2 linked regions of the Drosophila melanogaster genome follow. The gene in region 1 interacts genetically with each later gene. Each region holds a gene or a part of one and is shown on either strand. Other genes may lie near its edges.

Region 1 (5,307 bases):
TTTAAGTCAATCAAAATTGTTGGTACGTTACATTTTTATTGTGAAAATGTTATTCATTATTTTTAGCTTAGTAAAATTATTTTGGTGTCAAATTCGGCCATGTAAACCCCAAAGGAAAATGTTGCAATTAGGCTTAAGGATGTTTTTCAAACAGCGTACTATTTCACTCCAATAAATTGTGGAGTTGCCAAAAGCAAACAATTACAGTTATACCGAATAAGCTCGATTTCAATTGGCCAGCCTATCGATAGCAATCGGGCCACGCCCCTCCCACTTGCTGCCTACTGATTTGGATAAATTGCCGGCGGAAATTTGCGCAAATTCCAGAGGCTCTGGTTCGATTCGGATATATATATATATATAAGAATATATTTGCGTTTGGATAACAAAGGAAGGCGATTTGCTGAATGGAAAGCACAATCCACATGGCAGCGGCAATAACAAATAAGTCTATTAATATTTTAGTATTATTGCTATGCAAAGCCTGCGAACAATGGCAAGCCAAAGTTTTTTCCTTGCGACTAGAAAATGCGGAATCCCATCCAAGAACGCGAAATCACAATGGATTCAAGGAGGTGATGCGGCGGATGGGGATTTGGGGACTATTCATGAAAAGTACGAGCATAAACCCGCTTTTTATGCATGCAGGCAAGATTCGACGAGCGCAAATTAATAATTCAATTAGAATGCACAACGCGGCGTATGCGTGATGCATTATGCAAATGCCAGAGAAAAGAAAAGCGTGCGGAATAACTATGCCCCAAAAGACAATTTTCTGCTGACAGATGATGGGCACAAATGTCAGTGTCAACCTGTGGTTAGTTCACATCAATTGAGACTGGTCTCAAGTTGTCTGGTCTATAAAAAAAACCAAGTGCACTCGGTATAAATGCATAATGTAAATGGAAAAATGTGAACTTTTCATCAGGCAATTAGCTTAAATTGACCCAGTTAGCGTTCGGTAAATCAGGGTAGTAAATACGCCCTCTCAACAGTTTGTAAATTAGTTGAAAACCTATTTACGTGGAAAATGTGCGGCACATGAACATGATGACAACGTGATGCGGCGATAAATGTCCTTGCTCCACCCAACTTACGTGATACTCATTATTTACATTCGATTGAAAGTTAAACGTGCGAACAGATGAGCACAACTTTGCCGTTCCACACAACAAGTATTTAGATCTATATCTATGTCATCCTCGTCTGCGTGCGTTGCCTCATATCCTTTACTGTTGCCACACCAAGCACGTAAATTGCTCGTTCTCCCAAAAAAAAAAGCAAAAAACAAAAAAAAAAAGAGGAGGAGGAAAAATAAAATACACACGAGTGAAAAAAGGGTTAAACTTTGGTTTTGGTATACATCCTTGGCGGAGTTCCTTTGAAAACCGGATTATGCATCGATGGAGGTGTGTACTCGCATCCTAGCAAAAGTTTCTCCATGTGCTGGCTGCTAATGAGGCTCACATTCATTTTCATTTACCAGCTGGTTGGCTAGAAGTGATATAAATTAAAAGGAATGCGAACAGAGAAAACTTTTGCTAACTGCCAACCTTTTGTTATAATTTAAACTTTGTATTAAATATTATGAAGGCGTGCGGGATGTGTGTGATAATCATGTGATAATCACCCATCCTTCCCTCATTGGATAACTTTTTGCACCCCTTTTGTCTTGACAAATCATTAAGCAATCTGCGAGCGGATTGCGTATACGCCCCATAAACCACCGAATCACCTAGAGGAACTCTACTACAATGTTCGGGAAATATGCCAGCACGTAATAAAACTGAAAAGCTCATGAAGGCCAATATCCTACAACACCCGATCGGAGACAAAGACATTGTAAATTATAGTGGCGATATGGATACCTGAGACTACACTGAAAATAAAATCGTGATTCTTCTATGTACATATATAGTTCCTGTGAATAACATCTATTATTTAACACCTTTTATTCATTCCTATTATTGTGGAACTGCAAATTGAATGCCACAAATATTTGATTGCTTGACATGTAATACTATGGTTATTGCAATATCCTTTTTTGTATAGGACATAACATTATTGATTGCACGTTTTTAATAACCAAGCACAATTCTAATAATTCTACTTTTTTCCCCCGTGTTCTGCGCATTTTACGAGCTGCACATTGGACATAAAGCCAAAGCTAAGGCCGCATCCAAAGCCAAAGCCCAATGAATGCCTCGTTGGCAGCCACATAAATACAATCGACCCACTCCGGGCCTCGTTTCCGCCCGGACTCCCCACTTCTCCAGCCCTTTTCCGCAACTCACCGTTGTGCCATCGTAGCCATTTGTCAGCAGTTGGATGTCGATTTCAATGTCCAGGTCCACCTTGGCGGTCGTGAGCTGCAGCGGCAGATGATCGGCGTCCAGCAGCGTGGAATTCGTGGAGAATCCGGTGCTCCCACTGGTGTGATTCCCGCCGATGGTAGTGGCGCTACTGGTGTTGATGATGGTGGTGCTGCTGCTGATGGAACTGGTGGTGCTGGTTGCGACCGTGGCGGCCACTGAACCCACTCCTGCTGCGATTGCAGCAATCGCCCGCATTGCATTTGTCATTGGAACGAGGATGATTAGGAAACCAAATGGGTGTGGTGTGTACATGAATGGATGGTTGGTGGATGGTTGCTTCCTCTTTTCAGCGAGAGATTCTTAGTTGCGGGTACGGCAATAAATTGCCCGACTACGGCAATGCAGCATTCTGCTAATACACTTCTTCGATACTAAATGCGGCAATTGAAGCATGTTCAGACGAACTGAGAAACTCGCTGGGTTTCAGATTCAGGCATCGCGGAGAACGCGACCCAGAGTCATGTCCAGCCATCAATCAGGCGAAATTACAGCATTAAAGTCACTGCTTAAATGATTGATAAATATGCCATATATATAATATATATATGCTTGTGGTATGCACACACTTAACTGACACACGCTTCTCGCACACACACACACACACGTACGCCCGTCAAGAATTCTCGATCGGCACTCGGAATTATGTCCGATTATATGGGTTGGTTGGTGTTATCTGGCACTATCTTTCCAGCGGGCCACCGCTTGACGAACCGTGCGAACTGAAGGCTGAACGTCGACTGTCCGGATACGCACGACTAACGGTATCAGTACGGCGGAGAACGACCAATGCCGTAGAGTATGCAACAACTTTCGAGTTCCGCCGGAGCCGCGAAGTCCATTCAACAGGATATGTCGCTCACTAGGCGGAATATATGCGCTGCGCAGAGCAAGAGAGAGACTTGGAGCAAATAAGCATGAGAGTTAGCTGTATTGAGGGAAAGCACCTGTTGTTCCAACGACGCGTTTTCCCAGCGTTTCACTAGCGACTCCGACGCGACTTTGGCCGCCACCTCTATTTGTTCTCATTACGAAACTGGGAACAACGTTGCGATGTCATTTGGGCTGAGTGAATGCCTCAACTGCATGCAAATGGAATGCAATTGCTGTCTTTGACAAATCGCCGCTGGCAGATCTGCTGGCCGATGCAATCTTTCAATTGAGATACCCTTACATAAAGTGGGGACCACAAGTTTTGTTAGTTTTTTGTACATATGATTTTCTATATGAGTATTTCAGAAATTTATCAAATATAGGCATTTAAAATGTGAACTTAGGTAATTGCTTACTTTAGTGATAAAAACCTCCAAAGCTCCATATAAATACTATTAAAATCAACTTTAACCCCTTTAGTTATGTGTGGATAGGGGTAATGCAACTGTCACTTTTTTAAAAAATTTTGTATCTTTTATTTTGGCACTTAATTCAACTAATCTCTTGTATAACCTATCAAAACCACATGCTACTGAGCAGCCACTCGATGTGCTTGGCCACATCCGTATAGATGACAGGCAGCGTCAGATTGCATCTGTTGGTCATTCGCTGTCCGGCTGAGACGACGCCGCGCAGCATCCAGATGTCCTGCTCCTGGAGCATCAGTCCACCACCGGAATCTCCGCTGCAGGGACCGGACGCCTGGGCATTGCTGGCACAGATCGTGTGCGAGGTGATAAACTTGGCGTTCTCCTCGGACAGATTTCCACGACATTCCCACTGGGTGATGATGTCCGTGTCTGTCATCTTGGCCAGTCGCGTGTTTCGGTTCCCCTTTTCATCCTCACCCCAACCAGCCACATAGGACTTGTGACCCGAGGGCAGTTCGAGCAAAAAGTTCTCGTTCCACAAACAGATGGGCTTGATGTAATCGCCAATACTAAGTGTAGTTACGATTTAAAAGTTAATCAATTTGACAAAATAAATTAATCAATAAATGTACTTACTCAACGTGATTAGACAACTGGAGCAGTGCTAAATCCGCATCGGTGTATACATTGGGATTGTACTGTTCGTGGATTAATAGTCGCGCTACACCTAGTGTAGCTCCCGACGAAAAAAGATCCAAGGAGTTACGCCCCAGCGAAACAATAGTCCGCTCGCCCGGCAAATTCCGACTGCCAAAGCGGAAGCAGTGGGCAGCCGAGATCACTGTTCTGGCCGAGATCAGCGTTCCGCCGCACAAAAAGTTATAGTCCCTGCCAACGTGCTCGAAAAGAGCGGCCATCCAGGGCAGCTGACCCCGCTCCACTTCAATTCCGTTGTGGATAAAGGGTGTCTGGATGACCTTTTCACGCCCACAGATTCCGCTCAGTTGACCAATTGTCTGGGGATAGAACTTGGATGCTTGCGCGGGCGTATTCGACGGATGAACTGAAGGTCTGGCTGACGTCTGGAACTCTGGTTCTTGTGGCAATTGAGGCACGGGTTGCAGCCGTGGTCTTGACGGCGCCTGTTGTGGACGCGGCCTCGAAGGACGCTGTTGTGGGCGGCGTCTTTGAACTGGCTCCTCTTCCTCCTCCTCCTCATATACAGTGTAGTTGGTCTGAGGGGCCTGGGGCCATTGGTGATCAGTCCGCTGAGACGGCGGTATAGCTGCCAAAGGCACAGAAGTTCGCAGAGTTCGCGACAAAGATAGCCTTGTGCTAGGAGCTCCAACTGCAAGAGCATTAAAAATGTATATTAATAAAAGCAAAAATCAGTTGAGTAAATTATTCTAATTACATGCATACATAATACAACTTGGCATCTTTCCTCCTATTAAATTGCACTTGAATTCATTTTTTTGCACGCTGGTATGACTCGTTTGAGTCTTGGATATATCATTTAAAATTGGTTTTCTTTTTACTTACAAGGCACAGCCTCGCACGCAACTTTTCCATTAACCGTAACCTTTGTGAGTTTGGGCACCACGCCCGGCGTTGGAAAGTCAATTCTGTAG
Region 2 (4,963 bases), on another chromosome or scaffold:
TGTTCTTTTGACACTGTCAACATTCTCCAACCCCATAATTTATTTGATCACGCTTTTCCGAGGCGATTGTTGACGGAAGCGCACGAATTGCCATTGCAAATTGCAATTGCACCTCGTAGACAAAAGCGAAATTCGCAATGTGGCAAACTTGAATTAGTTAAATGATGATCCCGCCGGGCAATCGATCGTAGAATGTTCGACGATCTTCGACCTTGGCGCCATTTTAAGCCTTAACTTCCAGGTTGTTAAGGATAAGCAGCATAAGCATCTGGCATCGATGCATTGATCATGCTTTCGCATTAATGAGGCAATAATTTAATTGATACTTTTCCAAAGCTACTGCAGCAAATCATTCTTTTGATAAAATGCTTACTATATTATGTATTAAGTCAGCACTGCTTTTCCTCAACACTCAAAGCTCGAATAACATGAGATTTAGTATTATTTTTAAATTTCAAAGAATCAAAACCAACGCATAACACTAGTTAGCTGATTTTCAAAATTTTATCCGGTCTTCAAAAGGTAGCCAGTCGCAGCCAGTCGATCAGGCCAATGATGATGCCTCAATTTGTGTTCTGGAGGAGGGATGCCAAAAAGACCCAGCTGGAGCAGATCTCGCCCATCTGGAGGGATTTGAATGCTACATTTGTGACGTAACACGCAGATAGGATCACTTTTACTTTATGTTACTATATACCATTTTTCATATAGGGTTCTCAGCTGGAGTTGGCTCATCTACGCACTTTCCGCACTGGTAATCATCACTTGTGCATATTTCGCTTATTGTGAGCGCTGCCGAAGAACTGAATCAGTGCGACGACGACGGGTGATTCAAAGAGCTCAAGAGCGGTATAATAGTTATGATTTAAATTTAACAGTTTGTGTTAATTTATCATTTATACACCATTTAAGACCGCCACAAAAGCGACGACCGAATGCGGCCTATCGGGATCACCAGATCTACCGCCACATCATCCTCAGCGTGGCCAAGTACATGAAGAATCCGGATGGTATTCGACCCTTTATAGAACACATGGAGCAGCTATATCCACTCAGGCATAACTTGGCCGATCAGCAGCAGGTGGCCGAACCAAGTGCTGGAGAAGATTAGTGATCAGGGAGGTAAAACCAAAAGATTTGAATCCAAAATTAATAGAATAAATACTGCGAAAATTAAATTTATTTTCATAAGTAGTCTTAAATGCAATGAAGTGCTCTCACTTATTTAATTTCCTATCTACTAATATTATTTCTTTAAAAAATAGCTTAGAGATGAGAACTTGGAGATAATAGATACCAATTGCAAACTAGAGTGGGAGCAACTAGATAAATTAATTAGTTTAACCAGGCTCATGCTTTTGGCCAACTAAAATTGGGTCATGCGCAGTGGGAGATTCTGGTTGGCGGTGCCTAAAAATATGCAGTGCTATTTTTACCTGCCACAAATATAAACAAACGCCATGTGCGTTTGCCGAGCTTTCAGCTGGCGAAAGCTTCGCTTTCTCTCGCTTCCTGTTGCTGCTTTTCCATTTCCATTTCCAGCCGCCCTCTCTCTCAGATCTCTCTCTCCCTCTCTATCGTGCGAGAGAGAGTTCGCCGAGTTGTCGGGGCGTTAGCAGAAGAGAAGAAAAGCGATGGAAAAACGGAAAACAGTTGCCAGTTAGACAGTGAGCGCGTCGCATCTACGCACGCATCGAAAAGATTCAGCGGCAGCAGCAGCAGCGCGTTCAGTGGTTGTTGTTGTTGGAAACGGTGGAAGCACACACACACAGCAGACACAACACCAACACACGCCCGCACACACACACACACACCAACACGCGGCCAGCAAACACACTTTTCGGCTGGCCTTAATTTTCATTGCATACCAATGCCAATCACAATCAAAAATGGAATATTTGAAAATTTGAAAATTCGAATGGCAAAGTGAATTCAATTAAATTGTGCAAATTACGAGCTTGAGGATAATTGAAAAATCAAGGCACACACCTGCGCACATGTGTCTGTGAGAGGGTCCTGTGTGTACTGGTATCTGTGTGAGAACGCCTTTGGCTGTATGTGTGTTGAAGGCTAAGCAGAAAATCAGCAGCCCACGGAAAAGCCAACAAGTAAAGCGAAAAAAATTAATGTTGCATGTGCCCCGAAAATCGGGAAATTGGAAATGGAAATTCAGTTAACCATAGCAAGAAAGTTCGACAGTGCAAAGTGACAAAGTTTGAAAGATATATTATTATCGCGACACCAAAGCCATAAATCGTGCCCCTTATAAATTATCTTATCTGAAAAGAAAATCCATTTAAATCAACACCACCTAATGCATGCATTAAAATATTATTTGATTGATTTATTAGTGAAAAATACACGGGCTGCTTAAAGTTCCTTTGAGGGCCACCGACTTGGTTAGATATATCTTAAGCCCACATTCATCTAGATATTTTACAGTTCTTGCCTGTTGCAGCCAAAGAGTTAGCAAACAAAGTGATAAAGACAAAGTGTTCAAGAAAAAATGTAATAAATACCCATTAAATATTATACAAGAAATCAACTTAATACTCAACCGATCAACTGGAAAAACTGAGCAATGTCAAGGCAAAGGTTCTCAACACGAGCAGTCTCAGGTGAGCAATTTTTCGGTGGCAGGGAGCATCAAGTCGAGCTTTGCTCCAGACGCATCCTACCTCAACACAAAAAAAAAGCGAAGATAGATGGGAAGAAACAGGGAGCGAGAGGGAACGCGAAAGAGCGAACCAAAACATAAACAACCCCGAAAAGAGCGAAACTCTAGAAGTAATGGTCGAAAGGAAAGTGCTGACACTTAAAAAAAAAGAAGAGAACTTTGAGAATTTTTAATTTTTTTTGATAATTTATTTAAGATAACATTAGACGTGTTTTTTTGACAATTACTTGGCTATAATGCACCTTTTTGCGAGTGTCTAATCTATATAGCTGTGTAGTAGACTATGGAGTGAAACAAGCTGTACCGTTAAAAAAAATTTAAATAGTCTAAAGACTTGAAATTTATATTGGGATATTTTTTTCGCAGTGCACTTGAACCTCCACTTCTCCTATCGGAAATGCTGTGCTGTTCTTCTCATATCCCTTATGCTCGGTCCTTCGGTGTTGATGTAGAGATACGAAAATAGGCAAAGTTTAGCACAAAAAAACGAAGAATTTCAGTTGGAAAGCTCAATGCAAAGAATGGCAGCATTCGTTGGGGATTAGCCAAAGCCAAAAGACTTTGTGCAAATACTGAAAAGCTCGGCCTGAGCGCATCATTTTCCACGCAAATTTCGTTTGCGAAAATTTCAATTTATGTGTGGCAAACAGGATTTGCAGTATATGTCTGCATATGTATGTATGTATCTGTAACTCGGTCACACGTTACACGCTTCTCCGTTTTTTTTTTTTCCCCACCATTTTATTGACTTTGTCGTTTTATAGGCAATTTGTCTTCTGGCAGCCGTCGATAGCTTTTGCTGTGTCATAAAATTACGCGCCAAGCGAATGCCCCGTATCCTTATTGGTATCCTTATCCTTATCGGCAAGGACCGGGTTTCGAGCTTGGACTCTTTCGCTGCCAAGTTGTTTATATTGTCGTAAATTTGCCTTCAAGGACGCGACAACACCGCACAGTCTGCCGCCTCCCACCGCCCCCTACCCGCTCACATGGCCATTTTATCGATCACACAATGGGAAATTTCACACGTTGTCCCAAAGGGCTGGAAAATGGGTTTGGAAACGTACAGTGGTCGCTCCTGGCTTTAATTAATTCGAATCACCAGGATATGGATAGACCCACTGCAACAAATTGGGGATATAATTACAGAGAACTGTATCTCCGCGTATAGATCATATAACGTATTAGAAATACATAAGTAAAAAATTACCATTCAATCTATATTTTAGATCTAAGAATCTTAAAGATACAATATCTTATTATTATTGGATACCTACACATTCGCTTTACGCAGAGAACACTGTGGCAACAGACCCGTTGTGTTGAGTTGCGTTTCGTTGCTCGTCTTTAATTACGTGCGCTGCAATTGGCAGCTTCAAGGTCGTTGCCGTCTTTTGCATAATTAAGGGTCACCCACCGCCGCCCAGCGTGCCACCCCCTTCTGACTCATTGGTGCACCCATCGCAAGTGGCTTTTGTTCTTGCAACACAGTTTCAGTTTCTGAATAATGCAATTGACGCGGTCGTGTAGGCGCTGACACAGTTGCCATTTTTCACACATGACCAGCCGGAAAACAGAAACCAGAAACCAGAGACCAGGCACAACTAACAACTGGCACCGTGCGACGTGCAACGTGCGACGAGCAGCATGCAACATTCGCCGCATGTCCGGCAAGCGAGTGCAATTTCCATAGCACACTTCAAGGCTGGCCGCTGTCTAATTTACATGGCAAATGACGCTGCTCTGGCTTTCTCCGCTTTCACTGCTTTCTCCGCTTTGCATTTATGACTCGTGACGTGCAATGGCGATTGTCCGCCAACCATTTTCTTCGCCGTTTTGTGTTTCGACACACGTATTCAATTAGCCCGATAAAGGAAGCAAAATGCCGCAGCTGCTGCTGCCCACACATTTGCATATGAAAGAAAGTCCGGGAAAATTCGAGGGTGCTGATGGTGCTTGTTGGCGGGAAATGTGAGCCGTTTTAGCCATGAAATAAAACGGTACCATCAACATTGGCAGCAAATTTTAATTGGACTCTAATTCGACTTTATCTTCGCAGATAAAATCCTTTTACCCAAAAATGATCTACTTAAAAATATTGCTTTTTGGAATTATATATTTTATTTATTGCTTTACTGTGAAGTATTCAAGTTTAAGTAATTAATATATCTTTTTCCAATCCGGTCTGCAAAGAATTTATTTGCACACATTTATATCTCTTTTGATTTATGACCACAACGTGTCGCGTATATGCCGTGTTTTTTATACATTTTGTGGAAGACACCA

What was found.
Region 2: of Dop1R1 (region 1) and DopEcR, changing one suppresses a phenotype caused by changing the other (phenotypic suppression), as found in Drosophila melanogaster (one study listed by BioGRID).

Annotation. Positions count from the first base shown.
Region 1 is NT_033777.3:14,211,696-14,217,002, forward strand, and holds the start of Dop1R1 (dopamine 1-like receptor 1), read right to left. Parts: upstream 3,116-5,307; 5' UTR 2,628-3,115; coding exon 2,295-2,627; intron 1-2,294. Other genes in the region: CG9649 (uncharacterized protein), read right to left, coding at 3,822-4,245, 4,313-5,024, 5,219-5,307. UniProt on the Drosophila melanogaster protein: Receptor for dopamine. The activity of this receptor is mediated by G proteins which activate adenylyl cyclase. Might be involved in the processing of visual information and/or visual learning.
Region 2 is NT_037436.4:4,377,076-4,382,038, reverse strand, and holds the start of DopEcR (Dopamine/Ecdysteroid receptor), read left to right. Parts: upstream 1-1,651; 5' UTR 1,652-2,108; intron 2,109-2,439; exon of another isoform or gene 2,440-2,442; 5' UTR 2,443-2,618; intron 2,619-4,039; exon of another isoform or gene 4,040-4,671; intron 4,672-4,963. Other genes in the region: CG32240 (uncharacterized protein), read left to right, coding at 553-653, 712-849, 913-1,111.